Daphnia pulex: one gene and its partner. The protein of the gene in region 1 binds, or shares a complex with, the protein of each later gene. Links are inferred from orthologs where the notes say so. Each region holds a gene or a part of one and is shown in the gene's direction. Other genes may lie near its edges.

Region 1 (2,809 bases):
TATGTCTTCGCCGCATACTCCAGTATGATTTGTTATTGTTTAAATTATTTTATGATTATTTTTTCTAATAGTTCTCCTTAACAGGTGACCTCAGCGACTCCTACCATGCCACCACGACCGGCTGTCTCTGACACTCCTACGTGTTTACAACAGAATCCGTTTAGTGCAAATAATATTGGTAGAACACCTCAAGCTCGACCATCTCTTTTTAACATGCCTACACCCGATACACCATATGGAAGGCTTTTAAACGTAATGTTTTAGTTTGTAATTTTTAATCGTCAGAAAGGAATCAGCATTTTTCTTCTTTGTAGACGGACCCGTCACCCGAAACTCGAAAATTGTGGAAACATGCATTGGAAAATCGAGTTCGTTTGACGCCTCGCGCGGACGAATCCCTTAACGTTACCCCACAAGATATTCAGAAAGGAGAAATTGTGGTTTCCCCCGAAGACTCGGATTATTTCTTGAATTTACGGAAAAAATTGCGTCTTGATGAAAGTGGAGTTGAAGCACAAGCCATGTGGAAACCGGATGAGGAAAATTCAGCGGCAGCATCACCCTTAGAACCACCAAAGCCACCTTTTCATGGAGTGGTGGCATTCATACACAAGAAAGTTGAAGACCAAAGAACCGAGTTGGTAAAAGCAGTTGAAAATCTGGGTGGCAAGGTTCGTTTCCAACACTGCGAGGAGGTAACTCATTTCATATATCAGGGCAAGCTAGCTGCATCCAAAGAGATTCGAAGCGCAAAAGATTGGCACCAGAAATTTGTCTCACCACAATGGATCCTAGACTGTGAAGATACTTCGAATCGTCTAGAAGAATCGCATTATCCACCATCTTTGAATCCGAAAATGGCTTTGTCACTGAATTTCAATTCGCAACCTGCACCGCCGTCTAGTTGTACCCAGAAGCGACGCCTTCCTGCCAGTTCCAGCGAAACGGGTACTCCTAGAATTCCTTCCCGTAAGCGCTTATCATCTGATAGTGAGCCACGTGAAAACGACCTTCTTGAAACTAATGAAGAACAAGAGAATCTTGTCGTCCCAGACGTAGAGGAAGAAGCATGCAAAGAACTTTTGCAACTAGACCAAGTGCTATCACGTTCAGCTGAGCAGATTCCTCTGCAAAAGGTTACAAACGTTTCGGGGGCTAGAAACGGTAGAGGACCTGAACACGTCTTCGTTCCCGCAACGCAACCTCTGGAAACGGTAGATTCGCAATCTGCTCCAATTGTGTGGGATCTTCACGAGACACAAAAGCCAACCGGTTCACAGCTAAACAATACTCAGACGTATCGTGTCATGTTCTCTGGAATGGCACTAGACGATCGTGAAAGCTGTACTGCTGTTATCGAAGAGTTGGGAGGAACCGTTCTTGAATCCAACCAATACGACCCAACGTGTACTCACCTTGTCGTCGCCAAAGTTGGATCTAATGAAAAATTGTTGACGTCGATCGCTGCTGGAAAATGGATCCTTCATCCAGAATGGCTGATTGAAAGCGAAAAAGAAAAACGTTTCCTTGAGGAAGCTAAATTTGAATGGGGCAATCCAGAAGCCACGGTGGATTACCCAGAATCCGAATCCATTACCGAGGACGAAGCTAACATTGCTGCGGCTGCATATTATTGGCGTATTAATCGCAGTCAAGGAGTATCTGGTGGCCCTTTTCACGGAATTACCGCTGTTTTATACCTTCGCGAGAAAAATGCTTCTTTCCAGCGTTTACTTGAAGCTGGTGGCGGAAAGGTGGTTGACCAAGGGTATGATAATAAGGATGTTCAGAGTTTTCTTTCATTCATTATTTTCATTTATTTATACGTTTCTTCTAGTTCGGCTTTGGAAAACAAGAAGACGAACTTGTGCATTTTGGATTCTCGCGAAGCGAAAAAGTTGCAGTTGTCATCGTTTGCCAATAGAGGCATTTATTGCGTTCCATTGATTTATCTCAGAAATCTTGTTCTGGCTACTGACAAGAAGTTAAAATGGAGCAAGTCTGTTTTACAAGAATTTCTTCCTTATCTCGAAAACATGCCTTCTTCTTAACTATCTTTCTTTTTATTTGAATAATCTAATGTGAAAAATACCTTTTTTTTTTAAGAAAATGTTTAAAGATACTTAGATAAGTCCATGAAATACAATCATTTCTAGTTTCCTGCAGAATTGTATTGATAACTAGTACATAATGATGACAAAACTACCAAAGACGCTTAGGCCCCATTGTTGCAGATGTAAGTATCCAGGTTTTGTCTTCATCTTTCTTCATTGACATTTGTTTATGCCTTGGTTTAGTTTTACAAATGATATGAACCCTTCCCTGTCTCACCACTTTGTAGCAGTCTTTGCAACGTTTCATCGGTTTCCCCACAACTTTGAATCCACAACTAGGAACTAGTGAAGGAACAGTAGGAGTTAACAGTTGATTTTGCACATTCAGAGTTTGGGGAATTCTCATTGATAATGCACTAAATGTTCTTGACACTGTCACAGGGAAAACAGCAGGTGAAAACATAAAGAGTTGTTGCAGGTTGCTGCACACGGGTCTTACAATTTTTCTCAATGCATCCATTTCAATCGTGAATCTGCTGTAAAAATATTTAAAACTGTTACATTTTTCAGTACTCTACATGAATTACATTAAAAGATAATGAGTAGTGCAAATGCAATAATTTTTTGGATTGCGCAACGTATCAAAGCAAGATTTAACTCTATTATAAACTTACGTAATTAGGATTCTTGTGAAGGTTTATCGTTAGAGAAAATTATCTTTTTATTTCATTATTTTACTGAATTGACTGGTTTGA
Region 2 (3,828 bases), on another chromosome or scaffold:
ATGTTGTCCGGCGATGGAAGCGTCGAGTCACCTGTCGAACAGCCGTTCATTCAACGGAAGCAAAAGTACGTACAGTAGCCCGCTTTGTCAGGGCCGACAAATCGAGATAATCGCATGCGATTGTTTGTTTGTTTGTTTGTTTTTTCTGTGTGTGTGTGTGTGTGGAATGGCGCGTTCAACTCAGTAGCTTGTTTACTCTTGCGCATCCATTCCAGGATTCCCAAGATCTTTTTTGGAACGCGGACGCACAAGCAAATCACTCAAGTGGTCAAAGAATTCCGCCGCACCGTCTACTGCAATACTCCGTGAGTCACACACGATGCCCTCGACAGCTATTATTTATTCCCTCTCCCAGCTTACCTTCATTTGAATTTCCTTCTTAAATCTTAAGACTTGAGACAGATATTTTTCTTCTTCTCTTATCATTCCATTCGACTTTGGCTTTGTCGATCGAAATTTTACAGGATGGGCGTGCTGGCCAGCAGGGAACACACCTGCATCCATCCAGAAGTGTCGCGTTCCGCCAACAAAAACGAAGGTTGCAAAATACTAAATGACCGACGATTGGCCAAACAGGATCCGCAGCAGAAGGTAAAAGCGCGTAATTAATTTCCTCGTCTCTCGTTGCGCGACCTTCTTCCCCACCCCGATTCCAGCGAAAAAGGGAAATCGAACAAGCTACACCGTAAAAGTGTAGTATACCTCTTTTGTATCTATCTAATGATTTCCGAGAATTGATCTCGTCCTCCTCGGTAACAACTGTTCGCCATCAACCTGTTACCTGCCAGCCAAGAGAATCACGCATTCAACTTGTTTTGCCATTTAAAGAACGATCGTGATCGCCCGAGCGTCAAATACGATCAAATGAGATCAAAGAACTTGGGTGGGGGGATAACAAAAAAAAAAAAAAAAATGAAAATGACTGGTTTCAAGTTTAATTGCCCGTCATTAGAAGACAGTGAAGAAGGAGGAGCCATGAAACCATCCGGTTATTCAAGACGCCGACGTTGAGACATGATACGCTTTCAAGATCAAATTTTTACTTCCCCCTTTTTTTATTTTATTTTCATGAAAAAAATTTCATTTCTAGTATTTCTTCTTTTCATTCATTCAATAAGAAAAAAAGGAGAAGAAAACGAGGGGAATGGTTGGTGGGTTGATTCTTTTGCCTCTTTGAAGGCGGTCTCGTTTTCTCGTAATGAATCCTATCTTTCAATCCATTATCCAACCGTAGTAATCACCGCAAAAGCGGCATTCGTATTATAACCCCCCTGCAACTTTTTTCTTCGTATTTAGATATTTCTCTCCACCTTCTTTTTCCCCCTATTTTTCGGTTTATTTCATTTTTTTGATTCGACAGCGCTTTGTAATGTGAGCCAAACATTTTGTCCTGTTTTTTTTTCATTATGATGACAATTATTCTCCGTATCTTTCGAGACGATCCGCTCATTTCTCCGAAAGGTTTTTTTTTTCGTCCCTATGACAAAGTGACCATTGTTGTTGACTCAGTTCATGCTTCCCACAATTTTTCTAGTCTCATTTCATTGAACTGTGCGATGGAACACTGGTCGAATTGTTCTTGGCGGACATTCCTGACAAGTTGTCCACTCACACTGGAACTTTAATGAGTCCATTTTTCTCTTTTTTTTTTCCTCAACTCTGTACAGGGTGGTTGTTCATACCGTTGGCAAGGCAAAGACAAGCTCAAGACGCAAGCTCAAATTCGTAACTATGGACTGGTCAGTGGTTGGGTAAGTCAATTTTTAATTTATTATTGTGGGTGATTCAAATGAAAATGATTTTTTCCTTTTTTGCGGGGGATTATTTTGTTTGATGTTTAGGATATCGAAGATTTGGTGAGTTTAGGCCGTCGCATTCGGGTTTGCCCATATTACGCTTCGCGCGACTTGTCGGAGCAAGCGCAGATCGTCTTTAGCCCTTACAATTACCTGATTGATCCGAGGGTACGTCAGTCGATGAAGATCCCAATTAATGACAATATCATCATTCTCGACGAGGCTCATAACATCGAGGATTCTGGTATTAAGCATTAATTCTTATGTATTAAGCATTAATGCTTATGTACTTAATACATTCACAGCGCGCGAATCAGCTGGAGGTTCTTGGTCACAAGAGGATTTTCGCTTGGCTCTCAATGACTGCGAGAAAGTAAACAAGTCTTAAAAATTGAATGCTTGATGGGCCATCCCCCTATTGTTTCCGTTCTGTGTCTTGAGTAGATCGGTAATCGGCACCCGACGATGGAAAAAGAAATCAATAGACTGGCCAAATTCTCGTCTTACATGATGCAATGGATCGGCAAACACGCCACGAACATGAAGAGTGTCGGCTTCGACCGGGAAGTTCACGTGATGACCGGCACGGAATTTGTAGCCAATTTGAGCGTCGACGGCTACGGTCCCGAAATGCTGGTCGAACTCAAGGCGATAATCGATTATATCTTCAACGAGCAACTCGAGTCGGATTGGAATGACAAAGAGGGCAGCCAGGATCCACAATTGTCGGGTGCCACTCAAACTCTCCTCGAAGGATTCCTCATGATTATGGATTTGATGTTGAACGGTAATCAAATTCACCGCGACGACTACCGGGCCGTAGTCGTTCGCACTGTCGAGAGGAAACAGAAAAAAGGACCTGGATCGTCATTTTTCGGGTGAGTCAATGCCAGGAGACGTTGTAAAATGCCTCACTTTGCAATCAATTATTTTGTTGGAAATGGACTTTTCAGGAAAGCCAACATCGCCTCGCAGTGGACATACGCCCTCAATTTATGGTGTCTCAATTCGGCTGTCGTGATGCATGAAATCAAAGAGAGTACGCGATCTATCATCGTCACATCGGGCACGCTGTCACCCTTGGCCTCCTATCAGTCGGAACTCGATATCGATTTCAAGCTCACTCTGGAGGCCAATCATGTCATTCCAGCCAAACGTGTGTGGATAGGGACCATCTCGCAGGGGCCTAGGAACACTCTGCTCAACGGGACATTCAAGGTGACCGGGACTTTTGAATATCAGGTAAATCTCCTCTTTATTTTCTATTCTCCGATGTTGTACCCGCGATGGTGTGGTTTACGCAACGGCAGTTGACGTTTCTGACCGTCCAACTCTTTTCACTCAAGGATGAACTCGGCCGGTTGGCTTTGTCCGTCTGCCAGACGATTCCGCACGGTGTTTTATGCTTCCTGCCCTCTTACAGTCTATTGGAGAAGCTTGTCACTCGATGGCAGGACACGGGTCTATGGCAACACCTTTCCAATTACAAAACCATCGTTTGCGAGTCGCGAGATTCACGCGACTTTGAGGAAACGCTCAAGAGTTTTTACTCGGCCATCGAAGACAGCGTAAAGTAAACCAGCCTACTTTCTTTCTCCATATTTCAATGAATAAAAATTGTGTTTTTTTTATTAGTGCTCTGAGTTGCTTAGACTTGGACGGCTCGGGTGATGGGTCTGAATGCCCGAGCAAAAAAACTGGTGACGTACCCAGCGGCGCTCTGATGTTGGCCGTATGTCGAGGCAAAGTCAGCGAAGGACTTGACTTCACCGATAACAATGCCCGGGCCGTCATTTGTGTGGGAATCCCTTTCCCAAATTTCAAAGATACTCAAGTCGAATTGAAACGCCAATACAATGACAAATTGTCCGCCTCTACACCGTTACTCAACGGAAGTGAGTGGTACGAGATCCAAGCCTTCAGGTTAGTTTTTCTTTTCAAATTATCTTTCGGTCTATCCATTACTTTTCCATCAAATAGTACAGGTTTTTTGTTTGTTTGTTTGTTTGTGAAATAGGGCATTGAATCAAGC

Evidence for each region.
Region 2: the proteins of DNA topoisomerase 2-binding protein 1-A-like (region 1) and Fanconi anemia group J protein homolog are in contact, whole or in part, in a crystal structure (PDB 3AL3), measured with the Homo sapiens proteins. The link is inferred for Daphnia pulex from reciprocal best matches to the Homo sapiens genes TOPBP1 and BRIP1. Residues at the interface, in NP_008958.2 of Homo sapiens: Leu1272, Ser1273, Ser1274, Leu1275, Asn1276, Pro1277, Arg1280, Gln1298, His1311, Leu1313, Arg1314, Asn1315, Glu1316, Lys1317, Leu1319, Gln1366, Arg1407, Gly1410, Phe1411, Leu1414, Thr1466, Glu1467, Ile1469, Ala1470; in NP_114432.2 of Homo sapiens: Ser1129, Tyr1131, Phe1132, Thr1133, Pro1134, Glu1135, Leu1136, Tyr1137, Asp1138.

The regions. Positions count from the first base shown.
Region 1 is NC_060022.1:4,608,976-4,611,784, reverse strand, and holds the end of DNA topoisomerase 2-binding protein 1-A-like, read left to right. Parts: coding exon 1-22; intron 23-84; coding exon 85-252; intron 253-314; coding exon 315-1,768; intron 1,769-1,837; coding exon 1,838-2,051; 3' UTR 2,052-2,165; downstream 2,166-2,809. UniProt on the Homo sapiens protein: Scaffold protein that acts as a key protein-protein adapter in DNA replication and DNA repair. Composed of multiple BRCT domains, which specifically recognize and bind phosphorylated proteins, bringing proteins together into functional combinations.
Region 2 is NC_060028.1:9,966,497-9,970,324, forward strand, and holds part of Fanconi anemia group J protein homolog, read left to right. Parts: coding exon 1-65; intron 66-215; coding exon 216-305; intron 306-464; coding exon 465-591; intron 592-1,667; coding exon 1,668-1,751; intron 1,752-1,841; coding exon 1,842-2,040; intron 2,041-2,101; coding exon 2,102-2,169; intron 2,170-2,240; coding exon 2,241-2,674; intron 2,675-2,749; coding exon 2,750-3,038; intron 3,039-3,142; coding exon 3,143-3,369; intron 3,370-3,431; coding exon 3,432-3,719; intron 3,720-3,813; coding exon 3,814-3,828. UniProt on the Homo sapiens protein: DNA-dependent ATPase and 5'-3' DNA helicase required for the maintenance of chromosomal stability. Acts late in the Fanconi anemia pathway, after FANCD2 ubiquitination.